Linked DNA regions of Kluyveromyces lactis. The protein of the gene in region 1 purifies or fractionates together with the protein of each later gene. This does not show direct contact. Links are inferred from orthologs where the notes say so. Each region holds a gene or a part of one and is shown in the gene's direction. Other genes may lie near its edges. The genes, in order: CLF1, BRR2, CUS1, PRP46, RSE1, CWC2 and PRP45.

Evidence for each region.
Region 2: the proteins of CLF1 (region 1) and BRR2 purify together in Saccharomyces cerevisiae (affinity purification with mass spectrometry; 4 studies listed by BioGRID). This does not show direct contact. The link is inferred for Kluyveromyces lactis from reciprocal best matches to the Saccharomyces cerevisiae genes CLF1 and BRR2.
Region 3: the proteins of CLF1 (region 1) and CUS1 purify together in Saccharomyces cerevisiae (affinity purification with mass spectrometry; 3 studies listed by BioGRID). This does not show direct contact. The link is inferred for Kluyveromyces lactis from reciprocal best matches to the Saccharomyces cerevisiae genes CLF1 and CUS1.
Region 4: the proteins of CLF1 (region 1) and PRP46 purify together in Saccharomyces cerevisiae (affinity purification with mass spectrometry; 4 studies listed by BioGRID). This does not show direct contact. The link is inferred for Kluyveromyces lactis from reciprocal best matches to the Saccharomyces cerevisiae genes CLF1 and PRP46.
Region 5: the proteins of CLF1 (region 1) and RSE1 purify together in Saccharomyces cerevisiae (affinity purification with mass spectrometry, with the first as the bait; 4 studies listed by BioGRID). This does not show direct contact. The link is inferred for Kluyveromyces lactis from reciprocal best matches to the Saccharomyces cerevisiae genes CLF1 and RSE1.
Region 6: the proteins of CLF1 (region 1) and CWC2 purify together in Saccharomyces cerevisiae (affinity purification with mass spectrometry; 6 studies listed by BioGRID, with this or other methods). This does not show direct contact. The link is inferred for Kluyveromyces lactis from reciprocal best matches to the Saccharomyces cerevisiae genes CLF1 and CWC2.
Region 7: the proteins of CLF1 (region 1) and PRP45 purify together in Saccharomyces cerevisiae (affinity purification with mass spectrometry; 4 studies listed by BioGRID). This does not show direct contact. The link is inferred for Kluyveromyces lactis from reciprocal best matches to the Saccharomyces cerevisiae genes CLF1 and PRP45.

What each region holds. Positions count from the first base shown.
Region 1 is NC_006042.1:1,643,867-1,648,360, forward strand, and holds CLF1 (Clf1p), read left to right. Parts: upstream 1-1,725; coding exon 1,726-3,780; downstream 3,781-4,494. Other genes in the region: DOP1 (Dop1p), read left to right, coding at 1-59; MTQ2 (S-adenosylmethionine-dependent methyltransferase), read right to left, coding at 111-779; NEDD8 family protein RUB1, read left to right, coding at 1,037-1,185, 1,287-1,371; mRNA splicing protein MSL5, read right to left, coding at 3,882-4,494. UniProt on the Saccharomyces cerevisiae protein: Involved in pre-mRNA splicing and cell cycle progression. Required for the spliceosome assembly by promoting the functional integration of the U4/U6.U5 tri-snRNP particle into the U1-, U2-dependent pre-spliceosome.
Region 2 is NC_006039.1:1,583,025-1,587,857, reverse strand, and holds the start of BRR2 (ATP-dependent RNA helicase BRR2), read left to right. Parts: upstream 1-1,656; coding exon 1,657-4,833. Other genes in the region: RAD24 (Rad24p), read right to left, coding at 1-1,294.
Region 3 is NC_006042.1:790,109-794,147, reverse strand, and holds CUS1 (U2 snRNP complex subunit CUS1), read left to right. Parts: upstream 1-1,837; coding exon 1,838-3,289; downstream 3,290-4,039. Other genes in the region: MCH5 (riboflavin transporter), read left to right, coding at 1-219; RRG7 (Rrg7p), read right to left, coding at 480-1,181; BIL1 (Bil1p), read left to right, coding at 1,373-1,603; peptide alpha-N-acetyltransferase complex A subunit NAT1, read left to right, coding at 3,669-4,039. UniProt on the Saccharomyces cerevisiae protein: Essential splicing protein required for U2 snRNP binding to pre-mRNA during spliceosome assembly.
Region 4 is NC_006042.1:1,033,906-1,037,713, reverse strand, and holds PRP46 (mRNA splicing protein PRP46), read left to right. Parts: upstream 1-1,701; coding exon 1,702-3,006; downstream 3,007-3,808. Other genes in the region: pseudouridine synthase PUS7, read right to left, coding at 1-1,440; NuA4 histone acetyltransferase complex catalytic subunit ESA1, read left to right, coding at 3,371-3,808. UniProt on the Saccharomyces cerevisiae protein: Involved in pre-mRNA splicing. May also be required for cell cycle progression at G2/M.
Region 5 is NC_006037.1:720,832-725,596, forward strand, and holds the start of RSE1 (U2 snRNP complex subunit RSE1), read left to right. Parts: upstream 1-1,385; coding exon 1,386-4,765. Other genes in the region: GSF2 (Gsf2p), read right to left, coding at 1-151. UniProt on the Saccharomyces cerevisiae protein: Involved in G2/M transition. Required for pre-mRNA splicing and endoplasmic reticulum (ER) to Golgi secretion pathway. U2 snRNPs associated protein required for the pre-spliceosome assembly.
Region 6 is NC_006039.1:1,336,257-1,339,902, forward strand, and holds CWC2 (active spliceosome conformation promoter CWC2), read left to right. Parts: upstream 1-1,727; coding exon 1,728-2,741; downstream 2,742-3,646. Other genes in the region: snoRNA-binding protein NHP2, read right to left, coding at 321-770; mRNA splicing protein PRP28, read right to left, coding at 3,183-3,646. UniProt on the Saccharomyces cerevisiae protein: Involved in the first step of pre-mRNA splicing. Required for cell growth and cell cycle control. Plays a role in the levels of the U1, U4, U5 and U6 snRNAs and the maintenance of the U4/U6 snRNA complex.
Region 7 is NC_006042.1:223,455-227,523, reverse strand, and holds PRP45 (mRNA splicing protein PRP45), read left to right. Parts: upstream 1-1,482; coding exon 1,483-2,775; downstream 2,776-4,069. Other genes in the region: protein phosphatase regulator GIP4, read left to right, coding at 1-1,299; RNA-binding protein POP5, read right to left, coding at 2,851-3,495; ALA1 (alanine--tRNA ligase), read right to left, coding at 3,806-4,069. UniProt on the Saccharomyces cerevisiae protein: Involved in pre-mRNA splicing. Associated with the spliceosome throughout the splicing reactions, until after the second catalytic step.

The sequences.
Region 1 (4,494 bases):
ACGAACAGGTATGTATTGATGATTTATCGCATGACATTTGTCATCAATTCATTAAGTGATCTTCAATAAATATTTTCATTTAAGCAATGAGAAGCTCACATTTGCGTTCATCAGTTTCTATAAAATTTATAAACACTTAATACTTCCCACCCTGCTTTTCTGTGTATCACTAATTCACTTTTCCATCCGCTGAACTTCATCTTACTTGCCACAGTTTCAGGTTTATTTCTAGCACAAAACAATATGTACGCTACTCCGTTGCAGCTAAGAATTCTGTCCAATCCATTCAATAGTCTCTGTGTGACCACCATCCCATCATCACCACCATCCAATGCTAGAAAGAGCCACTCATCATCACGAACAGCATGATTTGAATGAGGCAGTTCTGGTACAGTTTCTGCAGGTACATATGGTGGATTAAAGACAAGCAGGTCGACCTCATTTTCCCTTATTGAAGACGTAAGGTCTGTTTGTAATACATCAAAATGGCTATTCTTGCAACCATTCTTCGAACAAGTGTCTAAGGTAGCGTCCAATGCCCAAGGGTTCAAATCAGTTGCCAAATAAAGTCCATTGGCGTTTGGTATACCATTTTGCATAAGAAACGTAGAGACTATCCCAGAACCAGAACCAATTTCTATAGTCAATGGTACTGCGTCATTGAACCTGTTATTCAACCAACTCAGATCAGCTTCTAATGCATCTAATAAAAGAAAAGAGTCCTCGCTTGGCTCGTATACTTTATTATAATCATAAGAGACGTATGGTGTAGCTAGCATCGCCCTGTTATCCTAAGCCCTGATGAGCTATAGCTCGCATCAATATCTGTTCTGCACCTGTATCTTTTCAAACATGGAAGTCATCGCATATATAATATTGTATTTGAAAAGTTGATATTGAACAATAACGTATGCAAAAGGTCATCTAAAAGAAAGTAATTAAATTGAAGCTTAACAACTAGTCTACTGTTTGATACAACTATTAATCACCATTTTCAGAGAATCGACAATCAGTTGCTTGTTTGTGGTTGAGAAAGATGCAATTAAAGGTCAAGACATTAACAGGGAAGGAAATCTCCGTAGATGTTCAAAGTTCAGAAACGGTCTATCATATCAAAGAGCTATTAGAAGAAAAAGAGGGTATTCCACCATCACAGCAGAAGTTGATCTTCCAGGGCAAACAAATGTATGTTAATTAACTGATAATTCAGAACTGAGAAGAGTTTGATATCAAATTAATGTAGGGACTCTTTTACTAACTAGTAAGTAATGCTATCTTTAAATCAGAGATGATAACGCAACAATCGGCAGTGCCGACTTGCAAGATGGATCTCTTTTACATCTTGTTCTAACTTTAAGAGGCGGTTGTTGAGAGCCATGTGTCATTGCATTGCGAAACCTCAAGATACGTATGTGTATAAGTATTTTGCAGATAAATACCTGGAGGAATTACTCTGCATTTAATAAAACGACTATAATTATTGGAAGCTAACACTATGAATGACATAATTTACATTTACACGACCGTCCAATTATCAAACAAAGGAAGGATGTAACACATGCTTGTTGCTTTTCCTTGTATGCATGAATGAACCTTATAAATACATAATGATTCAGATATCAAATTTAGTGCGAACATTATAATTGTAGAAACAGATGAACTTAACGACAACGATGCAAACAAAAGTAAGAAAAACACGGATAACTTACCTGACTATACTGTAACATGGGTGACAATAGTTTATCCAATGAAGCCATCACTGCCGATAATATTTTGAAGGATGCCTTTAGCCAAAAGAAGCAGATTGCAGCTACTACGAAGGCAGATATATTAGATTTGGAAGAACTGAAAGACTGGCAACGAAGGAAAAGAACAGAGTATGAGACAGTTTTGAAAAGAAATAGGTTAGACCTTCGTCAATGGATGAGGTATGCTCAATTTGAATTTGATCAGAAAGATATACGAAGAGCTAGGTCCATTTATGAACGCGCTCTTCTTGTTGATCATGGGTTTATTCCACTATGGATTCAATACATCGACAGTGAAATCAAATGGAAAAATATCAACCATGCAAGGAACTTGTTAGACAGAGCAACAAACGCTCTTCCTCGTGTTGATAAGCTCTGGTTCAAATATCTTTTATTGGAAGAATCTTTGGGAAATCAGGGTATTGTACGAGGCATTTATACAAGATGGTGTTCATTTGAACCTGGTCCCGATGCATGGGACTCCTTCATCGAGTTCGAAACAAGGTGCTTGAATTTTGAAAATGTCAGGAACATTTACTCGAAGTTTGTTCTAGTCCATCCTCAAATAGATACCTGGTTGAAATGGGTTCGTTTTGAACAAACTCATGGAGATATATCATCCGTACGAACAGTGTTCTCATTCGCGCTAGACACACTCACAAGTTTCAGCGGAACACCACTGGTAGATATTGAACGAGTTATTGGTAGCTTCGCTTCCTGGGAAGCTTCTCAGGGAGAGTATGAACGATCTAGAACGTTATACCGACTAGCAGTTGAAAGATGGCCAATTTCTGAAGCATTAAAGGAACAGCAGATTCAGTTCGAGAAGAAGTTCGGCTCTTCGAAAAATATGGAGGACATAGTAATCGCTAAAAGGAAAGCCGAGTACGAGCAATATCTAAAATCAGATCCCTATCATTATTCTACTTGGTGGGTCTATATTGACCTGGTTGAGGAAAAATATCAAGAGCAATTGACATCAGCTTTCCAGTCGTTCATTGAATTGGCAAAGCCGAAGTCCCTGGTAAAGGATTCGAGCTGGAAGAGGTACATAAGAATCTGCGTACGATACTTGGTCTATCTAGAGCTCACCATTAATGATTTGCCTACGATACGCTCGGTTTATCAAGACATCCTCGACATCATTCCACATAAGAAGTTTACATTCGGTAAACTGTGGATAATGTATGCAGAATTCGAAATTAGGCAGAACAACTTGCTGAAAGCAAGAAAAATTCTGGGTGTGAGCTTAGGAAAGTCCCCCAAGCCAAAAGTGTTTAAATATTACATCAATTTGGAGATAAGGCTAAAAGAGTTTGATAGAGTGAGAAAGCTATACGAGAAATACATCGATTTCAATCCTAGTTCAGTGCAATCATGGTTGGATTATGCAGAATTAGAAGAAAATTTAGGAGATGAAGATAGATCAAGAGGGATCTATGATATCTCCATGAGCAATAATGTTGGATTATCTGAATCGGACCAGCTGATTGTCATTCAGCGCTATATCGCTTTTGAAACTGATGCAGCAGAATATGAAAAGGCTAGAGAGTTGTACGAGAAGTATTTGATTTTGAGTAGATATGACGTGAACATATGGATAAACCAGGCGCTTTTCGAGAGCACTATTCCAACTGAGACCCAACTAATAGCCTATCAACAATCTCATCAAGACGGGAATTTTGACGACGATGGCGAAGAGGAGTTCAGTTTTGAAATTACACCTGAGAATAAGCATCACACCAGGGCTATTTTTGAGAAGGCAATTTCATATTTCAAAGAACATAATGAAGATAAGAAACGCCAGCAAGTTTTACAATCTCTCCTGGAGTATGAGAAAGTTCATGGTAATCAAGAAACTTTGGAAAAGGTCAATGCTAGACAACCAAGTTTGGTTAGGGAAAAAGTTACTATCGATAACATTGAGCAAGAGTCATATAAATTGGATTTTCCGGACGATCGTGTTGCTCAACCTCCTATTGCTCGAAATCTTCTAGCTTTGGCAAAACAATGGGAGAAAAATTCCAGCTGATATGTAACTTTATATTCATATACAGATAATACAATTGTAGATTTAGAACACGCATTTAATCAGGTTGGCATATAGGCTATTGAGAAAAAATACGAATTGTATTAATTATTCGTTTCATTATCGGTAAAACTTTGTGGCAACTGGTTTGACGGTATCGAACTGGGTGTTGATATCGTAGAAGGGGTAAGCCCAGGTGCATTCATTGTCGGTACAGATCCTGGGGGCATTAATCCTGGAGGAACGTTGCCTGGTGCTGCTGCCAATCCTGGTGCTGCCAATCCTGGTGCTGCCAATCCTGGTGCTGCCAATCCTGGTGCTGCCAATCCTGGTGCTGCCAATCCTGGTGCTGCCAATCCTGGTGCTGCCATTCCTGGTGCTGCCATTCCTGGTGCTGCCATTCCGGGAGGAGATAAACCTGGGGGTGCCATTCCTGGAGTAGCAATATTTAAGTTTCCTTCAGTGATACCTATTCCAGACGTTGAATTTTCTGCAGCCAGAGATTCGGATCTGGCTGAAACAGAAGAAGGTGAACCTACAGAAGAGTTGGAGCCCGCTGTAGCAGTAATCCCATCACCTCCTAGTCCATCAATAGAAATTTGCATCATAGGGGTTAGTCTATGAGTATTTACGATAGTGCTTTGGTCGTGGATGTTAGATTCTGCATTTTTGAATCTTTTGGCTGCGTCGGAAGCGACCTCTATTCCAATTCTCTTT
Region 2 (4,833 bases), on another chromosome or scaffold:
CATGTACGCTGTGATTGGAACTTTTCACATCGCTAGAAATATTTCTAACTTTCCCAAGACAATAATACAGAGGTTCTTCTTCTAGAGGTCGTAGTGTGTCCGTTATACTCAATGTGTCCACAACATCTGCAGCATAGTGCAGCGGGAACTGTGATTTGTTTAATTTAGAGAAATTCTCCAGGATACCCAATTTGAACGTGTCATTGGCAATTGTTCCGCCGTCAACAAGCTCATTTATCATATACCTATCATTTTCATTATCCTTCGATCCATATATTACCTTACCAATACCATGGAAATAACTTGTTGAACTTTCTCTCGTGAAAATACTATTAGTTTCATCAAAGCTAGAAGTGCACCAGAATTGTAATGCCGCGATGCCAGATCGAATATCACCTGTACTAGATGCAAGGTTCTTAATGAAAGTGCCACTTCTTTGGTATTTCTCTGAGGGGATTTCTCTTCTAACTTTCTGTATTATCTGCTTTAAATGCTTCGTCATTAATGTTGCATTGATGGGATTAAACTTAATTCGATGCAACAACGGGTGCATCAAGATATCTTTGCCCAAGATTGTTTCTGAAATGAAGGTAGAATCTATTCCAAATGATGAATTAGTAGAATTCGAGTCCAGTAGTTGACATTCAGTAAGACAAATCACCAGTGGTGGTAGACGATCAGAAGCAAAGAGCCACGAGAGAATACTCTCCCTGAACCTTTTCAACGTTGACTCGTGGAAAACATTCGGCAGATCTTCGACAAGAAGTACTGACAAATTCCTACCGATTAAGTACTTAGATTGAAGCAAAAAATCATCAAACGACTCAGATGGTGAAACGCTACTCATATCTGTAAGATATTCTGTAAAATTCGGAACTTCCCTTCCACTCACTGTGAGTCCTGACGTAGCTCTATAACGAGGCACTATCTCATCGCTTATAAGCTTAACACAAGTACTTTTAGAACAACCTGCAGGCCCACTTAACAGAAGAATCCGTTCATCTGATTTCCCTGAGACCATACCCTCTAAATAATACCGTACTTCCTCTATCTTCTTCTTATGCAATGCGATGTCATCAACTCTCTTCGGACTAAATTTGTCATACCATTGCAGCTCACTTGGCAACGTCCGTTCTCCACTAGGTCGTGTCAAATCCACATGATCCAAATTCGTGTAAGGAAAGGAAGGAACCGACGTAGATGATCGTTTCACCTTCTTATCCTTTCTTGGGGATGCTCTGCTTATCCTATCGCTGATTTCACTGATAGATCGTTTCAAACTAGGAGTTGACATGCTATAACATCATTAAAATTCCTCAATTTATGACGAAAATAAATGTAATGTCGTTTAGTTCAATTCTGCAAAACGGCCGAGCTCCGTCTTGGCGAGCTATTCGGTATATAATTTGGTATTAAGAGTAGTTTACCTCTCTTCAATCTGTATTCTCTTATATTGAGTGCTAATCTCTGACTGTGGAAATATCTAGCTTACCCGCACATTGAAATTAAGCATTCCATTTGATATTTGCTAGTCGAATATGAATTATATGAATGGAATAACATCGTATAGCTTAGATGTGGTATCTAAAATGCACATAGAGCGAGTTGAAATCAAGCAATAGTCAGTACTGATAAGGTACATACTTAGACAGAGAGATGACCGAAGATGCTAAAGAAAGAAAGCAGAAAATCAAAGAGATTTACCGTTATGATGAAATGTCAAATCAGGTACTACGCGCTGATAGAAGTTTGATAGAGAACAGGACGGATGTGCATCGTGATGCGGAAATATCACAGCCGAAGTCTATGTCTGGTAGAATCAGGCTTACTGAAATGGGATCTGCCGTTAAGGAGAACGGATTAGAAGATAACGAGCGTGCTACAGCAGAGAAAGAATTCGAAAAGCGTATGAAAAGCTCATCGCCTCAGCAGACGAATAGCTCAAGGCTGGACAGAACCACGGTACTTGACGATATAACGTCTTTGAACTACATACCGACTGATGATAGAAATACTGAGATATACGATGAGATAACTACATGGTGTTCTGAGATACTCGGTGATGATATACCGCATTCCATTATAGTAGACGCAACAGATTTGATAATAGTAACTTTGAAGCAGGATGAAAGTGTAGACCTAGAGAGCAAGAAAAAGACTATTGAAGTAGCTTTGGATACTGAATTAGACAACGCTTCATTCAACTCACTTGTAAAGCTCGTGAAAAGTATCTCTGATTACTACGCAGAATCCGCCGATACCGGTAGAACAGTAAATGTAGCGATAAATCCCAATGAAGATGATGACGAAGCAGAAGAAGAAGAGGAACCAAATGCTCTACTAGAAGCTGTAGATGACGTGGCAGGGGAAGAGGCCGATGAAGAAGCGGGTTATAATGAAAAAACAGACAATAGTAATGATAATTTTTCTGTACGAAGTGACATAATGAATAATTCAGAATCTTTGCAAATACAGAGTGCAGCTGTCATGGAAGAAATAATAGATATCAAAGATATTGATGGATTTTATCTTCAGAGGAAGATCAGGAAACAACTGAAAAATATTGAAGAGACAAAGGTTCAGGAAATGGCCAATAACGTATACGACCTGCTCGCAAACGACATCTCTGAAGAGGAACTGACCCAAAATCTCCACGATATTTTCGGACCTGATGCGAAACAATTGATTAGGCTAATAGTCTCAAATAGGGAGACATTGTACTGGGGTCACAACTTACAGAGGTCTGCGAACGAGAACATTGACGAAATTCTAGGGGAAATGGCACAAAGAAATTTATCACACTTGGTAGAAGCATATAAGGCGAAACCTGATTCTGCTAAAAGAAAGTTGAATTCAGAGCCAGAAGTTGGAACCAAAAAACAAAAAATAGAAGCTGAAGATGAACCCAAAGTAATTGCCCTCGATGACCTTAAATTATCGCAGAATACCAAGTTTTTGTCAGACGTGAAAATTTCGTTACCTGAAAACTCATTCAAAAGAGTCAAAGATAGCTATGAAGAAATTCACGTTCCCCCGCCCAAGAAGGTTGATGACAATTTCCCGCTTGTACAGATCGAGAGCCTACCGAAATGGGCTCGCAGTGCTTTCCCTACGTCTGAAACGACTTCACTAAACAGAATTCAATCTGAGGTCTACCCCACTGCTTTCAATACAGACGCTAATGTATTACTATGTGCCCCCACAGGTGCTGGTAAAACTAACGTAGCAATGTTGACTGTACTAAGAGCAATGTCCCATTACTATCGGGAAGAGAGAAATGCCTTCGATTTGAAAAAATTTAAAGTGGTTTATATCGCACCGCTCAAGGCATTGGTACAAGAACAAGTCAGAGAATTTCAAAGAAGGTTACATCATTTTGGAGTGAAGGTAGCAGAGCTTACAGGTGATTCCAACTTATCTAAGCAGCAAATCGAAGAAACCCAACTCTTAGTAGCAACTCCGGAAAAATGGGATGTAATCACAAGAAAATCAACAGACACTAGCTTTCACAAACTCGTACGTTTGATCATCATAGATGAGGTCCATTTATTACATGATGAAAGAGGTCCGGTCATTGAATCAATAGTAGCAAGGGTTCTACGGGACACAACGGCAGAAATTCCTACGAGGCTTGTTGCACTTTCTGCCACTTTACCAAACTACATTGACGTGGCCAAGTTCCTTCATGTTCCTGATAATGGCTTATTTTATTTTGATTCAACTTTCAGGCCATGTCCTTTAGCACAACAGTATTGTGGCATCACTGAGAAAAATGCTTTAAAGAAGAAGAATGCCATGAACCAGGCATGCTATGATAAATTATTGGAGGCCGCAAAAGAAGGACACCAAGTTATCATTTTCGTTCATTCGAGAAAGGATACTGCTAGAACTGCTAGGTGGCTTATTCAAAAACTTATAAATGAAGATAAAATAAGTGCGTTCCAAGGTACCGATAAAGGTTCCTTGGAAATCCTCAAGACAGAATCCAGTAATGCTACTGATAGATCGCTCTCCGACCTTATACCTTATGGATTCGGTATCCATCATGCAGGCCTTACAAAGGATGATAGATCTTTATCCGAAGACCTTTTTGCTGATGGTTTGCTAAAAGTTCTTGTTTCCACAGCAACTTTAGCATGGGGTGTTAACCTTCCTGCCCACACTGTCATAATTAAAGGTACAGAAATGTATTCACCGGAGAAAAGTGATTGGGTCATGCTTCCCCCACAAGATATCCTTCAAATGTTAGGAAGAGCTGGTAGGCCGAGATACGACGTAAATGGTGAAGGGATCATTATTACAAACCAATCAGACGTACGTTATTATCTCGCTGTGTTGAACCAACAACTCCCTATAGAATCTCAAATGATTTCAAAAGTTGTTGATAATCTTAATGCTGAAATAGTTCTAGGTAACGTCACCTCACTAGATGAAGCAGTTAACTGGTTGGGTTATTCCTATTTATCAGTACGGATGAAGCAATCACCTCATTTATACAACTTGCAAGGTTCTTCAGGAGACATGAGTGATGCTGAGCTCATAAGAGTCAACAGAAATATTGTGCATACGGCGTTGAATTTATTACAGAATAACGGTCTTGTAAACTATGACTCTCTTTCTAAGTCGGTACAACCAACTGAGCTAGGTAGAATATCCTCTCATTTCTACATAAGTTATTCGTCAATTGCAAAATACAACCGGGAGTTAACAATAAACAGCACTTTGATCGACATTCTGAGAATATTTGCTATGTCAGAAGAGTTTAAGAACATTACCGTAAGACAAGAAGAGAAAACTGAATTAGAGAAACTCGTCGAGCGTTGTCCAATTCCG
Region 3 (4,039 bases), about 850 kb from region 1:
ACTGAAGAATTCGGAAGAAGATATTCTACAATGTACTTTGTTGTCGCATTTGGTACTTTAGTAGCAGTTCCTATTACAGGTGCCATCATCGGACCAGAAAAGAGTTTCAAGGGCTATGACCACTATGTAATTTGGTGCGGTGTCACGTCATTTGTCTCTGCTATATGTTATATGATTTCCAAGACATTAGCAGTGGGCTTCAATATGAAGAGATTCTAAAATGCCATCCACAACTATTCCCAAACTTGTTTTAAAACTTACGCCTTCCCTTCAACATCGAGACATCATTAATACATAATTTTAACCTGGCTACTATATACATTCCTATCTCGTTTTCATGCGCTGCATAATCAGATACACAACCTTTATAAATTTATACATCTTTAAATTAATTAGCATATCATATTTATTACATTCATCATATGTACAGGTTTCATTCTATTTAAACTTTTCTGATAGCGTAATTGCGTGCTAATATTTCATTTTTGTGCTAAGGACTCATAACCTTTCAATTTTAACCATTCTTTGATTCCACAATTTGCAAGTAATTTCGATGCATAGTCATTCTCATAATAATGCTGTAGTTTTCCCGAGTTTTTCACATCGAAGCTTCCATCAGCTAATCTCTGGATCATATCCACTTTGGTAAATACCATTGGTATTGCGGCCTCATTAAACAGCCTTATTCCATCTTTTGTAAACAAAGTTGGAGAGCTCATTATCATTATGCTCGAGTTTCTTTTACGAGCGGGAACTTGCATGGAGAATGATCCAATTAATTCCCGTACCTGGCGGCCAGTAACTTTATCTGAATTGAAAGCCTTACATTGAATGTAACAGTCTAAATATTTATCGGGTTTCACCCTATGTTTCCATGGTTTTATCGATGTAGTCGGAAGTTTCAAACGTTTAGGTAGCTCATCGAATTGTATTTGCATTTCTATAGCCTTTGTTAATGGTAAAACGTTCCATTTGCCCCGAATATCAATGCCGCCATCATATGAACCGCCAACTACCTGCATATCCTCCAGTCGGAGCTTATTCATTAATTCTCGTACCACCGTGAGCTCATATAGCGTACCTTGAAAAACGGTAGAGTTGGCGATGCTCTCATTGGCAGCAATATACTTCTGTAAAGTATCTTTGGGAAATGAACTTGCAAAAACCCCTTTCCAACTCATCTGTATACCTAATAGGCTATCATGGACAAAATAGACCAGCTGGCGTTCTCGCCATTGTTAGTCTCATCACCTCCATGTATCATTTGTATCACCAAAATTTGGATCGGATTCAAATAACTAAAAAAAATGTAAATGTCATAGAACCGACATACCTTGAAGTCTATTGATCTAGCTTACATACAGCCATATACATGCAGTCATCACTTCAAAAGATGATTTCGACACAACCAATTGTTACCCCTGAACCAAAAGGATCAGAAAATAGTGGTAATTCCAACGAAGATGTTCCCACCGTGTTTGAGATAGCCTCAGATATTCAGCAAAAGTTACAGGACTTACTGCGGAAAGTGAATGACGATGATGTACAATTTAACAAATTCGCCGATTCAATCAACGATAGACTCAAGAATTTAGAAGAGTGATTCGTTATTATCCATAGTCATATAGCATCTATCACATGTATACAAGACCGTTGAATGTTGCCATATCTGTTCACGTATAATATAATGGTATAAATTTCAACATTTAATTGAAAAATATATGTGGTCTTAATAAAGGACATAAAAAAGGCAAATTGACAGATGAGCATACAATAGTATTCTGGCTCGACTGCTTATTAATATAACAACAGTCAACTGCCCACCAGATATTGCACTATGGTAAAGAAAGCCAAGGCTAATAAACGCCGTTCAAAGAATAAAAATGGATCTGTGAAAGAGGATGCAGAAGAAAGGAAGAAGAGGCTTTCCAGTTTGTTACAACAAGTGTCATCAGAGAATGGCAACACCTCGCAACAGGTAATTAATGAACCTTTAGTTATCAAGGATGAAAGTCTCAATAAAGTGTTACAAAGATTTAAAGCTTCGGCTACAGGGGCCGATGAGGATGATGATTCAAAACGGGAACAAGCCATAGTACGAAAAGAACGGGCTGATATTGACGATGAGGATGCTGAGGGTTCCGACAGTTTTGAGGATCAAGCGGATGAAGTACTTCAAAATATATCAGAAAGACAAAAGAGACTTGCTAACAAACCAAGTATTGCTGTTTTGAAAGCTTCAGTACCATATCCGGAACTCATCGAATGGTTTGACTGCGATGCGCAATGGCCTTATTTCAATGCAGCTATAAAGACAACACATAATACAGTGGGGATCCCCAGACATTGGCAAATGAAAAGAGGTTATTTATCTGGACGATCAATGATGGAAAGGAAGCCATTTCAATTACCTGAGATTATTAGACAAACCGATATTGAAACGATGCGAGAGACTGTTCCCTCTGGAAACGAAAAGCAAGCAGAGAAATTGAAGGATATTACCAGAGCAAAAGTTCAACCCAAGCTAGGTGTATTAGATCTAGATTATAAAAGGTTGTACGAAGCATTTTTCACTTTGGGAAAGAATTGGAAACCTGAACTATTGTCATTTGGTGATTTATATTATGAAAACAGAAGTTTGGATAGTGAACTCGAATGGAAACAAATAAAGACACGATATAGACCAGGGTATCTATCGGAAACTTTAAGGGAGGCATTAAATCTCACGGAGGGGATGCTCCCGCCTTGGTGTCATGAAATGAATAGATTAGGACTACCCAAATCATACCCTGGTATGAAAGTCTGTGGAATAAATTGGGAAATCTCTAATCTTACCGGTACACAATACGGATACTACCCTGAAGATACTTTGAGAATACCCAAACAAAACTTATTCGGAGCCATGTTCTCATTTGAAGAATTAGAAGATCAAGACGCACATATTGATCCAGATCCGTTGAACGAATCAATTTCCGACGATGAGGTGTCTTCAGACGCCAATGAAGCGGAAGCAACAAAAACAGAAAGCGAGACACATGAAAACAATAATTCAGGCTTAGTGCCAATTGATGGAGGCTCTGTAGTCAACCAGCACTATGATGAAAATAGACCCTTATTTACTGTTCTAACGGAAGCTAAATCAAACGAAGTCGACGGATCTACAATAATCAGTTCCACTACCTCTTACAATATTACGAACAAACGATCAACAAGCGTAGAGGAGAAGGACGATGATAATGTCTTACATAAAAAACAGAAAGTGGAAGAAGAGCCTGACTTCCGTTTTTGATCTTTACATTAACTCGTTAGAAACCCTACGTTTCAAAAGTGTCAGCTGTTTCCCTTTAATTACGTAAAATATTTGTAAATGTGAGTATGTAACTATATCAAAAGTATCATTGGATTGCAACATGTTTTAACTTTATTGCAGTAGGTGAGTAATAAACTCCTTGAATCGTACCAGCTCCGCTTGCTAACTATTACCTTCAGTTCGTTCAAACCCAAACATTTCATTTTCAATGTATCTCTAAACTGAAAAATTTACAATAGTCAACGTCTAAATCATGAAAATTATCAAGTTCAACAATCATATTCATGACTGAATAAATGGAGAAACACTCTTACTGGCTTGCTTATCTACACTCAGCGACCCATTGATCTACACTAGCATGTATAAAAAAAAGGGACTATCTCACGGGAAAGTGGGACTTCCAATTGGTAGGTCTAAGGATGACAGCAATATGTTGGAAGCACTGCAACTATATGAAGGTAAAAATTACAAGAAGTCGTTGAAGATCTTGGACACAATCTTGAAGAAGAACAGCAGTCATGTGGACTCTATAATTTTGAAGGGATTGAACTTGCAATTCTGTAGTACACCTGAAGAAGCTGCTAGTTACATTGATAAAGCGTTATCCAAAATTAAAGGCACTCTTGTAAGTCCAATTGGTGGACACTTATTAGGAATTTATTACAGACAGGTGAAAAATTACTCAGACGCTGTAAAGTGGTTCAAGGCCGCATTAGAAAATGGTTCTAC
Region 4 (3,808 bases), about 610 kb from region 1:
AACAAGGTCACCTTCGATGACATTCAATCCAAATAATTTAATCCTTTCGCTAGCGACCATGTTCCAAACATAACTTTGGTAAGCATGCACATACATAGTTCTCAAGTTTCTAGGAATCTTTAGAATAGCATTGTGATATGAGCTAATAGGGTAATCGTTTGATGTTTCACATTTCTCCTCATGACATAGTGCATTGAGAATGGCATTTTCTGCCAAACACTGATGTGGCATTGCTTTGGCTGCATAGATTGGGTTCCTGGTTTGTGCCCAAATTCTTCTAGCTTCTTTGGAAATTGGCAAAACATTTTCTTGTTCAGCCATGATCAAATCAACAGCTTGTTTCCAGTTACCTGATAATAGGACTTGCCCAATTTGATGCGTTGAAACACTGAACGTACCAAATCTTTGCATACCGAAATAATTGATGAACCCATTTTGTTCCAAGGATTTCATGCCATTGGCTAGGATATCATCCAAATCATCGCCTTCATTCTTCAATGAAACATCTCTGATAGCAATAGTGAATTCGTTTCCCTGTAGATCTCCCAAGTTCAATGGCTCATCTTCGAATTTGTAGCCACCTAGAACGACACCCTTCAAGCCCTTGTTTAGTCCGTTTAATCTGTCCAAACCAATTTTGGATAAAGACATTCTTTGACAAGTGACAGCCCTACGATCCTTTGTTCCAGAAAATCTGATCAACCTTGTTGGAATTCTCATGAATTTTGATAAAGTATTAGCGACATCCATAGTATCTTTGTTTTCCTTATAGACAGTAAAATGAATAAACGATTTTGATGGACCATAACCCCAGTTTTCGACACCGTTTGCATCCTTAGTTTGTTCGATCAATTCTTCTTTGCTAACACGTGTTTGGCGAGAAGCCATTCCAACAATGAAATGGTTTGAATCCGTCGTTACAGATTCTAACTTGTTGTCGAAAGCTCTACGTAGCAGTTGATGTATTTTAGTCCTTTCAAGTTTATCATCGAATGCCTTCGATGTTTCAATCTTTTTATTTGAGCGGTACACAGCTTCAATTTTTTGAACATCCTCTTCTCCCAAAAGTTCAACAAGTTCATTTCTAATTCCTTCATCCACCTTAAATCCTTGGCGTTTCTCAAGTTCTTCTTTTTGCGATTGCTCGATTTGTTCTCTCGTTGGCTTTGGCTTCTTTGGCATATTAAAACCTTTGTCAGTCAAATGCACAACTTCGCCTTGCTTGGTGATTTCATTGACTAAAAAGTCAGTGTACCTTTGTTTGATCTGACCATTGAAACCAACATTATCCATTGATAAGTAATGCGTGATACCAACATCCTTTTCAGTGATGTTGTTATTGTTTATACCTTCATTTATACCTTCACCAACTTTTGTCCTCTTAATATCTTCTTGCTGGGCAGCAGCTTCGGACTCTCTTTTCAAAGATTGGTCTGACATTATACCAATACTATACTTTAACACGAGAGTACTAATACCTGGTACTTGTTATAAGCAATTAAGAAGCGCAGCTTCCAGATTTGAACAACTGACTTCTGCTTCAATGTGATGAGATGAGATGAGATGAGCTCGAAATTTTTCAAGAAACGAAAAGAACCGTTTTGTATGATGGATATTATGAAAAGTTAACGAAGTGACATATACAAAGATGAAAGAGAGTTACACGACTTAATCGAACTGATAGACAACTAATAAGTACCAATGAATACATCCAGCCGTAGCTCTGAACCTTCGAAGGTAGCAGATGATGTTTACGTTCAAACTCGGTGGAATAATGAATTTAAACATGCTGATTATTTACCTGAGTCGTTACAGAAGTGCCTGGATCAAGAAAAGACTGTTTTAGAAAGGTACAGTGAATTAGTTGAGGTGTCGAAAACTGTTGCAAACGAAAGCTCTCAAGCATTAGTCAAACATACCACAAAACCAGGCGACCAACTAGTACGAAGAGTGTTCCAACAGCCACATCAGCAGATTTCATTGATGGAACGTTATGAAAAGACTCGAAGTTATAAACCGCAATGGCATGCACCATGGAAACTCAGTAAGGTAATAAATGGTCATACTGGATGGGTAAGATGTGTATGCGTGGACCCCGTTGACAATGAATGGTTTGCTACTGGTAGCAACGATACAACCATTAAAATCTGGGATTTAGCTGCGGGAAAGTTGAAAATTACTCTAATCGGGCATGTAATGAGTGTTCGAGATATTGCTATCTCAAAGAGACATCCTTATATGTTCTCAGCAAGCGAAGATAAACTTGTAAAATGTTGGGATCTAGAAAGAAATACTGCAATTAGGGATTTTCACGGTCATTTATCTGGCGTGCATACCGTTGATGTTCATCCGAGCCTTGATATAATAGCTACTGCTGGTCGTGATGCTGTAGTAAGGTTGTGGGATATACGATCAAGATCTGAGATAATGGTTCTGCCCGGTCATAAAAGCCCTATAAATAAAGTCAAATGCCTTCCCGTTGACCCACAAATAATCAGTTGTTCCGGGGATGCAACAGTTAGACTTTGGGATATCATTGCAGGGAAGGCAAGCAAAGTTTTAACGCACCATAGTAGAAACATCAGAGACTTGACGCTACACCCAGCAGAGTTTAGCTTTGCCAGTGTATCTACGAACGACGTCAGATCCTGGAAATTGCCCGAAGGACAGCTATTAACCAACTTTCAATCCCAGAACACTGGGATTTTGAATACCGTATCAATTAATCACGATAATGTACTATTAGCTGGTGGAGATGACGGTACTTTGTGCTTTTACGATTACAAAACAGGACACAAATACCAAAGTATGATGACAACTGAAGTTGCTGGCTCACTTGAAAGTGAGCGATCGATTTTATGCAGCACCTTTGATGTCACAGGAACAAGACTCATCACAGGGGAAGGAGACAAAAGCATCAAAATATGGAAGCAAGTCCCTGATGCTACAGAAGATACATTCCCTGGCTTGCCGTGGAATCCCACGTTAATATCTCAAAGATTCTAATCTAGCTGGTGTCTACTTGCAGCGACTTATGTAGAAGTTTGTAGTTTAACTCTATTAGGTCCCCGTTTTCCATCTATCTAGAATATTTCAGTCTGCATTAATTGCGAGGTTTGCTCTAACTGTCATATGATTACAGTCACGTAGTCAAGGACAGGGAACGTCAGGTTTTCTTGTATGTTTGTTCAAGCATGGTGTTTGCTTTAATACGGTAATCTGAATAAATTAACTGAAATTTAGCATCTTCAAAATATTTGAACTTATTAGTTACGCAATAAACCAAATCCAAAAACAGAGCACCTCTGTAAGAGGAACTAGTAAGGCAAGGCAACTGTTTAACAAATATTTTGGGCGAGCTCGCTAATACATGAGTCACGGCGAAGAAAAGGAACCTGGGATTCCCCAGAAGGTTGACAGCATCGATGAGATTTTCGTTGGATGCAAGTCATGGGTACTAAAAGATGGTCAAGATCGTCTTGCTGAAATTCTATCCATTAACAGCAGAAGAGATCCACCTAAGTTCTACGTGCATTATGAAGACTTCAATAAACGTCTAGATGAATGGATCACTGCTGATAGGTTACAGATAGACAAGGAAGTCATTTTTCCTAGGCCTAAAGAGCTTGAAGAGAAGAAAGACTCGAAGAAAAAGAAGCAGCAACAGAATAAAAGTGCTACACCACAAGCAGCCAGTGCTACTCCGGATGGTGGGGATGTGATGGATTTGGATAATTTGAATGTACAAGGGATTCCTAATGAAGATATTTCCAGAGAAGATGAAATAAAGAAGCTTCGTACATCGGGG
Region 5 (4,765 bases), on another chromosome or scaffold:
AAAAAATTGATGGCTTCAAAACCATAAACCTTGAAAGACCCTTTTCCTTATTAAATATTAAGGCAATTTTTTGTTCTAAAGTATCATCTTTTTGTACTTGAAACGCATAATCGTACTCTAAATCATCATTCATACGCACGTAAACCTCCATTGCGACTAGTTTGCTATTGGTTATTGATGTTAATTTTCCCACAAAACCGGAAATATTCGCCTTCCTCTCTGATAAATCTTGAAAAAGTACTGAGTATAGTAACTAGCACTGCTTTGTTGTAATCTGATCTTAACCTTATACCGTCTCTGGTTGGTTCGGATGGCAAATTTGCTTTGGTGTAGTAAATTACACTCTAGAGTTCAGCCTTTTATCCTAGAAGAAAACATTTCGTACTTACCAAGTTTTAGCATATGTCATGTTTCCGTTATTATATATTATTAAGGTTTTTCCTGGTGAAAAGGAACGGACACACAGAGAGGAAGAAGAAAAAAATAAACACACACACAGAGCTGATCTGCCAATATGAGTCCACCCGATATCTGTATGCGGCCGATTAATATTTCCCCAGTAACAATGTATAAATCAACGTGTAGAGACAGACAAAGAGTTTTCTCATACTTGCTCCTCTGACCAGAAGAGAAAGTCAAAAAAACCAATACAGAGTGTCTACCAGTCAAGCTATGGCATTTGAATCCTCATACGGTGTTTTTCTTTTCTGAAGAAGAGAAACACCTACTTAGAGTTAGTAGCGTAATACGCCTTGTGCTTTGAACTTGGTGAACCATATTTACGTTTCTGCACCATCAGGTGCACATTTGTGGGGTTACCAAAACGTGATACCGTTTAACGACACCAGTGCCAGAGCCAGTGCCGGTAAGGGAACAAGTAGTATCGAATTACATGCTGATCTCGTAATGGATTAAAACAATGACTGTGTGCCTTTCTTTCTCAACGTACAAGCATGCCTGTACGCTCTCTTCATCGTAAGTTTTTCCGTCCATATGGAGCGATAAACAGCCTTTGCGTATGTTTCTGTGTTTTCTTATTCCGCTTTGAACGAGCACTTCGCTCCTGCTCCAACAGAAGTTTTTCCGAAACAATGTGGAGTCTCATGTCATTCTGGTCACGTGATCGCATCTTTTCGTGTGACGTGATGTCAGGGTAACATGTTGTTGACTTTTTGGGATTTGTTGGTCACGTGTAAGTTTTTGAAATAGTATTTCCTAACTTCTTCATAAGGGCGGCAAAAAACCAAATCTGAAAGTAAACAAAGTAACTAACAACAGCGCACTTCTTGAGTGCAAGTTGACGAACAACACTACTGATTACCATCAGTATACACCTCTGATCATCGTCTGAAGCGTGTGTTTAGTTACCCGCTAACGAAGATCGGATGACTCAGGACTCTGAAGTGTTGCTATGGCACACTGTTTTACAACGACATAGGAACTACGTTCATTCCTGCATCGGTGATTTTACTTTGGATAGATCATCATTAGCGACAGCAGAAGCTGATACAACAAGTGTTAAGGGACCGAGGTCATCGAAGAAGCGGAAGGAACTGCAATTATGTCTAGCTACACAGGATTGTGTCGAATTGTACGATGTTAGCAATGGAACATTGGATGCGTTGGGTAAATGGCCTATAGCAGCTACTATTCTTTCTATGACCAAGTTGAATATGGATAGATGTTCACATACGATTTTGGTGTTGATAACTGATTCTGGGAATTTAACATTTTGGCAGTTTGAGAGGGATTCCGTGAGCGGGAAAGTGTACGTGCGTACTTTGGCAAACGAACCGATTTCCAGATCTGGGATCAGAAGGTTTGTACCTCAATATCAAATGGTTTCGGATCCACAGAGTAGATGTGTATTTTTCAGTGGGATTGAGCGTTCAAAGATGTGCGTGTTGGCTGACTGGCAACGTGGGAAATTGGTTGTTGGTTCTCCTATAGAGATTCAACGAAGTGATAGAATCACTTTGGCATCGGCAGCTTGTGATGTAAGTTTTGATAATCCGGTGAATGCTGCCATAGAGGTAGAATCTGGGACAAATGATTACTATTTGTCTTTTTATACAATGGATTTGGGTCTTAACACGTTGCTACTCCGGAAAGAGCATCTTTTAGAGGATAAATCCATCAATTTCGTTATGCAATGCCCAAATTTACAACAGTATAAGATTAAAACTAGACCGAATGATGAAACTGATCAAGATTCGGTAAATCCATTTGTTATTTGTGGTTATGATGGATACTTGACTCTGATAGACTTAGAAGGCTTTTATGAAGTGTCTGTTCAACTCCCCGTCAGAAAAACTGTTTCGTCAACTAATATCATCAACGGTACTATTCATAAATTGAAGAAAGATTTTTTCATCCTAATGCAGTCTAACCACGGAGATATGTACAAGGTCGGAATTATCCCTGATGAAGAAACTAAGGCGCCAGTTCTTGAAATTGCATACTTTGATACACTCCCCACTTCTGAAGACATCCACATTTTCAAGTCAGGTGCTCTTTTCAACGTATCAGAATTCGGGACCTCTTATTTAACACAGTTCGAAAGTCTTGGTGAAGATCTAGAAAAAATTACATCTTATACCCCGGGAAGGAGATCATTTATTGAAACAGAGTCCACTTTGAAAAACCTATCCATTCTTGACTCCTTAACTTCTTTAAATCCCTTGACGTCATTTCATGCATCAAATTCGACACCACTCACGATATTGGCTGCAGCCAATCAAACTGAGAATCTTGTTAAATTGACTTCTGCGGTTGATTTTGAAGAACTTATATCAACTACATTACCTAGAATACCATCAAAACTTTGGACCGTTAGAATTCCTAAAAACGAAACTCACAGTCTGATATTTCTTTCTATGGAAACCTCAACGACCATCTTGAAGATCCATGAGGGAACTGTCGAAGATTTTGGTGGAGATTCAAACCCATTTATTTTGAACAAACCATCATTGTTTGTTGGCGCTATGGTTCAAAGAAGTATTATTCAAGTTACTCGGGATTGTCTTTTACAAATTATTGAAATGCATGATGGTCCATACACCAAAAAACTTGAATGGTATCCACCAGCTGGTGTTGGCATCGTGACAGCATTTTGTAATGAGACACAGTTAGTTGTCGCTTTAACAAATCATGAAATATGCTATTTTGAAATCATAGAAGATTCGTTAAACGAATTACAGGATCGAGTGGAGATGGATTCTACAGTGAATTCTATTGCATTGCTCGCCGGTCAAAAGTCAGGCTATTGTGTATTAGGATGTGAAGATTCTAGTCTGCAGATTCTCAACTTACAGAGTAAACATCCAGATTTTTTCACTATCTGTGCTATTCAGTCACTAATATCAAAACCGCACTCTCTACTTTTCATGCGGGACACGTCGGATCTTAAGATCCACGTAGGTATGAAAAGTGGTGTTTATCTGTCATCTAAACTCAATATCAATGATGGCACAGTGTTCGATGTACGTACTAGATTTGTCGGAACGAAGCCCGTCCAGGTAAATCTCTTGGACAATATAGATATCAATCACAAAGATGATGATGATGATGAACCTGGAGAAAATGATTCAAAAATAGACGATTTCAAGAAGAAGATTTCGGATTTCACTCCACTAGTGGTATTGAATTCAAGCATATCTTGGGTAACTTACGAAATTGATGATAAAATCACATTACGTCCTTTGAAAACAGATGAGGGGATAACCTTGAAACATATAAATGCTTTTATCACGGATGATATCAAGCGCAACGGCTGCTGTTCCATAACCAGCAAAGGGCAACTCCTAATCGGCAAATTAGATAACTTTTTGTCCTGGAGTAACTGGTTCAATGAGAAAAAGTATACCCTTGTTAATGACGAACTTAAAAACGCTGGCAATGAAGAAGAGGATGAAGATGAGGATGAAGATGAGGATGAAGATGCAAGTGAGAAGTACGAAATCGTTGGTTATCAATCACAACGGATCCTTTCAGATACAACGGACAATTCGTTATCATATGTTATTTCAAAGACAGCTAATAAAGAAACCAGTCTATCAGCTATTCGCGATGATAAGCTATTGGCAACAAACAATGGGAATACGGTCGTGATTATTGCTAAAGAGGTCTTTAATGCTGTCTGTAGTTGCAATTTCGGTACAAATGTTAAATATATTGTCATATCTACTGAATCAGGGAAATTTATTGTGATTCAAATTCGAGTGAAGAACAACGTTCTTGAAACCCAATACATTCATGAAACAATGGTGCATAGTAAGGTCAATGCCATGGTTTCGTTTGGAGATAAATTGGCATGTTGCATTCTTGGCAATGTTGTCCTATTTGGACTAGGTAAAAAACAATTGTTGAGGAAAAGCATCACCGAAATGCCACCATATATTACCCAAGTAACTGCATTAGACCAATGGGATGGAACCATGTTAGCAGTTGGTGATATTAGAGAATCTGTTACGATCTTCAAGTATGATATAGATAATAACAGCTTCATTGGAGTAGCAGATGACATTGTGAAAAGGCATGTTACTACAGTCAAGTTCATAGATGTATCGAGTGTTATCGGTGGGGATAGGTTTGGTAACTGTTGGGTCCTTAGGGTGAACTATGAGAGCGACACTAGAGTCGCATCTAACATTAAAGCTTGCCAATATACCTTAGAAACGTTGTGCCATATGTACATGAACGATACTCCGATGAAATTTGAGATTGTGAACCATATGAATATGTCCGATCGACCAGCCATCTTATG
Region 6 (3,646 bases), on another chromosome or scaffold:
CAGAATACACAAATTGCAGAGTGCTTTTAACGATAGTAATCTATATGATTTGATGACTTCGGTACATAGATATTAATATTTATTTTACAGATAGGTGGGTGTAAGTAGATGCTCGAATCAACTGGTATATGCCAATTGGAAATTAGTCTTGCAGTCTCAGTATATGCATTGCAAGAAGAGTTCAAAAATAGTAGTTGTGAAGTGGAAGTAGTTGGGGTTAATTAAACAAGCCAACACCAGGAAGCAATTAACGAAACACTCGGTGTTTTGCGATTATAACTTTCTCTTTTCCGGTTGTTCTGTCGACAGTTTTCATATCTCTACAAAGAGCTTACTTCCTTAACAATTTCATCGAATGCAGCACGGTATTCTTCTTCCTTAGCCTTAGCATCTTTCTTCTTGTTAGAGCCTGGAACGATGAATACAACAGAAGTAGGTCTCTTGGTGGCACCAGCAGAACCTAGATCTTGCTTCGAGGGCACAAAGATATATGGAACAGATTGGTCTTCACACAAAACTGGCAAGTGAGAAATAACATCTTGTGGGAAAATATCACCAGCAATGACTACTAACCCTTTATCACCCTTTCTCAAAGCCTTGACAACCTCTTTGACACCTCTTTTGACATTCTTAGCCTTGGAAGCCTTCTTGACGGTCTTTAACACCTTTTTGTTCAGTTTCTTTGATGCTAGAGGTTTTGCAAATGGTAGAACGGCAGGAAGTCTAGCTTCGTAGTTGTCTTCTGTTGATACACTCTTATCCTTGGCCATCTTTGTTATTATGTATAGTTCTTCACTGTTCCCCTGGTTCAAATAGAGCGAGCAATTGATTGAGAAAGGAATCAATATCACATCAGCAAGATAGGTTCATCGATTCATTCAACAGTTCAATTCTCATACTCATCGCTCTTCTTTTTGTTAACAAAAAATGAAAATTTTCCAGTACCGAGTAACATGAAAAAGAAATAAAGTATCAATTACAGTAGGGACGACATAAATTAATCCATGCGACACATAAACAACTTTTCAGAATATCGTGCCAGCGTCTTGTTTCGGAGGTGGTACATAGCAGTTGTAGAAATGTCCATCGCCTAACATTATTCTGGATGAGTCCCTTTAATTTCATACAAAACTTGGAGTTTTAAATGGCGAACAATATGTACAATGATTAAACTCTGTAGGAGAAATTAGCTGTTCCAGGTGCAGGGCATTATTGTCCTGTGATCACTTCACTTGTATAATTAAATACTTTAAAAGGTTTAAATACTCCATATACCTCTTAATGTCAGGCAATGTAGTCTTAGTAAACCTTGAAGTTTGGTTATAGCATCATTGAAAATTACAACACACAAGTAACTTCTCTCGGTAGCCAAGTTGGTTTAAGGCGCCAGACTGTAATTTGAAAACACAAAGCAATTTGTAATCTGGAGATCGGGCGTTCGACTCGCCCCCGGGAGACTTATCTTTTTTTCGTTTCCATTTTGTTTTTGATCATGATCGTTTTCACTAAAGAAAAGTTCCAACCTTGAAGTTTATTGAAAACACTTTGGCCTGCGATGAGATGAACATGGAAGATGTGTGCTCGACAAGATACAGTTTTCACCGTTATAATACGGTATCTGTTGTTGCATAAATTGGACGGTTCAAACTGTTTGCTTGTTCGAGGTCATTAAAGAATACTTGGTTTGGCAAATTGCCAAATATTAAGGTCATCGTCATCAATATATTATGACTGGGGATTGGAAGAACCGACCAGCAAGGGTTCAGTTACAGGAGTCTGACCTACCTTCATCAGTACCGCCTCAGACGGGTTTGGCTTTCAACGTATGGTACAACAAATGGTCACAGGGGCAAAGTGGGTCCACTAGGTTCGTCACACCGTACTCGCTTGATCCCGAGAACGATTCTGGTATCACTAAAGGTGATAAAGAGGGTCGGATTCATTTCTGTTTGTATTTCGCTAAGGGAATGTGCTGTTTAGGCAAAAATTGTCGGTACTTGCATCATATTCCAGAGCCAGATGATTTTGCGAGGTTAGCTTTGCATTCCTCTGCGTTAGATTGTTTTGGAAGAGAGAAATTTGCTGATTATAGAGATGATATGGGTGGGGTAGGTTCCTTCAAGAAACCTAACCGTGTCTTATACGTGGGTGGTATTACAGGGGCACTCAACAACAAAACTTTGAAACCACATCAGATTGAGAATAGAGTGAAATACAAGTTCGGGAAACTTGGAGAATTGGATTCTGTTCGATACGTGGAGAGTAAGAATTGTGCCTTTGTCAAGTTCAAATTACAGTGTAACTCCGAATTTACTAAGGAAGCAATGGGCAATCAGACTCTATTAATACCAACCGATAAAGAGTGGGATCTAAGGAAGGAGGGAACTGGGTTGCTTGTGAAATGGGCGAACGAGGATCCTAATCCAGCTGTACGAAAGAGAGAATTGGAAGAACAAACCCAAGAGACTTTGAAAGCTATAAAACAACTAGTGGCTAGTACTGAAGGCACTGTAAATCAAAAACGTAAAGTTGAAGAAATCAACGAAGTGAGAGATTCGCAGGCGAACAGTCGTGAAAGATTCAGCATTAGGGAGAATGCAATCATAGATAAGACTATTTTAGATAAGTTGAAACAAAGGAAAGTGACTATTACCAATACCAACGTTGCTGCAAATATAACAGTTTCAAAACCATCGTCGGTTTTACCTTTGGTAACCCAATATTCATCTGATGAAGACTAGATTTCGTGAAGTCATGTGACACATTGACTTTTCCAGATTAGGTATATTTTGGATTACTGGTTGCCGTCATGAACAACATCTAGCGGATTTCAGATTTGTTTTACTGACATTGCAAATATTTGAAATGAATATAAAAGCTATCAATGCCTGGTTTTCAAATTATGTCGAAGTTGTTTTGTCGAGTTCACTTACTTGAACTTCGTCAGTCTACGGTTTGGCCTTCATCAAAAAACACGATAATTTTGAATCAGACATCCGAAAAAATGGAAGACAAGGCACAGGCTCAAACAAGAACGCATGAATCGTCAGACCATTGGGTATTTCCAGGATTGACCTGGAATCCTAAATGCATTATTAGCTAGCACACTGTAACTATTTACGTTAAATACTCTAATTCATATTGCATGACTCTAAAATTTCAAGGAAAAAAGTCTAGTCCTTTCATATAATAATTGGTTTGTATGAAGATTTGTCAACATTGTATTTCGACATAGCTTCTTTTGAGATGTAATTTTCTCCGGTGAAGTCGTTCTTTTTGACATAATCGAACAATTTAGCCATGGCAGAATGATCTTCCTCCTCGGTTAGAAAAGTAAGTGCAGTACCAGTTTTACCAGCACGTCCAGTTCTACCTACACGATGCACAAAGCTGTCAAACGACTTAGGAAATTGTAGATTCACTACTAAAGAAACGTTAGGTATATCGATACCTCTTCCAGCGACATCAGTAGCTATGAGAATATCTACTTTCCCATTTCTCAAAAGACTTAAAGAGTGTTCACGTTGTTCCTGTGATTTTGAGCCGTGAAGAGTTGTTGCTCGGAACCGAGCCTCTCTAAGTTTGTCGAATAACCAGTCAGCTGTTCTTTTGTAATTTATGAATATTATGATAGGAGCCTTGTAAT
Region 7 (4,069 bases), about 1.4 Mb from region 1:
TTTTGCTTCACACAGGAACTTGAAAAAGATCTTATAGAGGCCTTTAAGTCATATGGAAACCAGAATACTGTTTATCAAGTTCAGTTTAACAACATCTCATCAGCATATCAAAGATTGTTGTTAAAATCTACGCAGATGTTACGGAAAGCTGCTAAACTCGTTGATTCGTTTAGCACCCAATGGAAAAGTATATCAGATAACATGAAAGCCAGCAAATATGACGATATGAACATCGATGAGATGGCAAAGATGGCGGAGGAAAAGTTAGCTGTAGATGAACTAGCATACAACGAAAAAATAAAGGAACAAGAAAGACAAAGGGAGGAAAAAAAGAATTCCAGTCTTTCACAAAAAAACACATCATCTTCATCTTCCATAACTTCAAATTCTTCCTCATTAAACGTTTCTCCAAATATTTTATCGCCTTTAAGACTGAGCCGGACATCTTCAGTTTCGCGGTCAGAAGAATCAAGGTCCCCATCATCACCAATACCTTTCACTGATGCGAAGTCTAATATATCGGCTAAAAAGACCAGATCAGTCAGAACAAGAAACAGATCGTCATCATTGCAATCAGTATCAAGTCTTGAAGATACTTCCACTGCTCGGAATGGTATGAGATCCAATTCTCTTCAATCAGGTTCTCTGAATACACAAAGAATTGTACAGAATGCATATTCAAAAGCATTACTCTCGTTAAATGAGAAAAGAGGCCCAAGACTAACACCAACAAAGCTGAATAATTCTATAAGATCAAAATCACCTTCTCCAACTGTGTCACGGCAGAATTCCGTAAAACAGAGGAACAAAGTGAACATATTGAAGCTAAATGAAGTAGACGAAGATGACATCAATGAGAAATTCCACGATCTGAAGCTGGACGATGATACTCTAATCGTCTCTCAGGAAGTGTTATCTCCAGAAGGTAGTGAAACTCCTAAGATCATAGTTTCTGTTGCCGATGACAATCAGTCGTCTTCAAACAACGACAGCGAAGTTGAAGGTATTGTGAAAAAGGTGAGATTTATAGGGGTTCCGCCTATGTCACAAGATGAAAACCCTGAGCCTAAAAGACGCGGATGGTACAAGAAGCCTGCCGTGTTGCATTATCCACCTCCACCTGCACAGCACTCACTTCAAAAATTCAGAACAACTCAAGAGGGTCTTGCATTTCGCACAAGTTTGATCTCCAGAGACCAAGGTTCTGATAAAAAGTTCGGTTTTGACAGCATGTACTCATCAGGTCAAGGGGCGGATACTAAAATAGTGGGTAAAATCAAGGATAAACTGTTTAAATAGAAAGAATCTTTTAATTTCTATTTGCAGTGAACTTATTTCCATTATAATATCAACTTTTAACAATGTATTTGAAATTTAGAGAAAATATTTAACTATTGAACATTCCCATAATTTATAAAGTAAAGTAGGTAAGGCTTGAAACATAGGAACAAACCTGTTATAACACCACTAGAACGGTCTGACATGTCATTCAGGACACTCAGCTCATTGCTACCGAGTCCGCAAAACTCAGAAGTCTCCGAGTCTTCAGCATTTTCTAGACAATCTAAGGAAAACATAAAGGATACAATAATATTAGACAAGCTACGACCGGAGAATCTACCAGTGGCCTCAATATCTGACTTTGTACCTCTTAGACAACGTGATATATCACTAGAGGCACCGTTCCCATCGACATCACAGATTAATCAAACATATGTAAAGACTAAGGCGTTTCTAGACTCGCTGCTAACGAAAAAGAGCTCTCTACAATTATCGTCTATTGCGAACAAGGACATCGTAAAAAGAGAAGCAATAAGCTCTGTAAAATCTGGTACTCAACGTTCAGTTAAAGTAATAGAACATAAGAAGGATCCTTTACAACCGGTAACACACAGGAAAAGGAAGGTCGTTGTACCATCGGAAGAAATTCAGGCGCCTATACTTCATAAGTCGGATGACCCTAGTATTAAACCTACAAAGGAAGAGCTTGATAAATGGAGAATTCCATCCGCCATTTCGAACTGGAAGAATCCTAACGGATTTGCTATTTCTTTGGATAATAGAGTTGCTATTGAATCAATAAAGACGGACTGCCCAGATAATGATAAGAAGGACAATTTCCTTCTGCTATCTGAGGCACTAGACGAAGCAGAAAGAGAAGCAAGACAGAGAATCAACATTAAGCAAGAGGCGTACAAGGAGTTAGAGAAGGAAGAAACTTTAAAAAAAGAACAAAGGTTACGTCACTTAGCTGAACGTGCTAGACAGGATAGGGAAAATAGGCGACAGTACGAAAATGAAGATCATTATGTTAGGGAAATGGAGCGTAATCAACGTAGGAGAGCAGAACGCGAATTGGAACGGTCGAATAAAATGAGCACAGCAGAAAAGTTAAGACGATTGGCGTACCAACAAGGAAGAGATGTTTCTGATAAAGTTGTTTTAAATGCTGCAAAAGCCACCGAGACCCCAGATCTTCAGTACGATTCCCGCTTGTTCAAGAAAGCGGCATCATCTGTGGCATCATCTTCAAATCAAATTTTCGACCATCCATTGTTCAATAATAGCCAGATTGACAACATTTACAGGCCAACTACTGGTTCTAACTTAGAAAACGAAGATATTGTTGATCGACTCTCAAATAAGAAAGGAAGAACTGGACCGGTAGAGTTCTCCGCTGCTGATGATGGCAAAAATGCGGAACAGAATGAGGAAGATAACGAGCATGCCAGAGAATACGGTCTTCAAGTGCGTAAGAAGCCTCATACTTCTTAATTGTGCGATACCGATATACTGATATAATTGTATGTAATAATATTCAAGCACTACTAATTGAATGAAATCAGCGAATCAGTCATTATTTTCATCGTCAGTGATTGAAGAAAACTCATCATTCCTATCATCTGTCAGAAGTATTCGGTTCAAACGGTGACTTCTTCTGATAGCAAATAACTCAACTTTTTTAATAGTTCCGCTAACTTTTATTGGATTCATTATGATGGGCCCAACAGATTCAATCTGGTTCATCAAAGCAAGTGCCATTATTACGTACTGATGGTCATCATGGCCACATCGTATTATACCGGTTGATGTTCTATTCGAAAAGTATTTGATCTGTAACAAAGCCGTAGCCTTTCCCAAGCCATAGTCCCCGAAATTCACCTGTAATTGTTTTCGTAGTTCCTGCAAAATATTTCTCGGACTGATAGTATTTGGTGATACTTTGTGATGCGTGGTTAAAATGTCCTTCTTGGTTATATCTGGCACTGTTTCGTACTCATCATCTACATCTGGATATAGTACTTCGAAAAGAATGTATCTGCTCTTTAAACGAACCATTGGATTTCTTCTATTTTGCCTATTATGACAGCAAGTTTTATTAATAGTAGGATGAAACCCCCGAATAAACGTTGTTGCACAACCGTCCTTTATCAAAATCTTGATTCCTTCACAGTTGATCTCCATCATAACTCTAAATCTTGTAATGTGAAGCATCTCTCTTTTTTTTTTTTTTTTTTTTTTTTTTGGTTTGTCGCATTCAAGTCACAGAAGAAGAACGAGAATACGCCAAGCATGTCCAATATTTTATGCATTATTGCCGCATCACCAACCTTAACTAACAGATTGTGTAAATATCAGATAATTCATTCTCTATATAACAAAAGGCGTAGCATATCTTTCAAGTAATATCATATATAGTTGAGTTGAAAATCAGAGTTCTCATGCATATATTTACAAAACTTTGAGACTTGAGATTAACTTCAAGCCAATCGTAGCCAAAGAGTTTATATTAAAGCGGGTGAAATTAGATAGTCAGTCTCTCTTTTAGCAAGGCTTCAACTTCCGCAACAGCGGAGTCAATACCGTTTGGTTTGTCACCCATACCTTGGAAGACATTTCCCTTACCACCAGCTTTACCACCGATGCTAGAGGATACTGTTTTGGCTAAACTAGAACCATCAACACCTTGAGCAATTGCTGCGTCAGATATGTAGCATCCGTGAGCAACCTTTCCGTCTGGTTCATTACAAGTGAATAAGTAGATAGACTTGTCCTTCGAGTTTGTTTT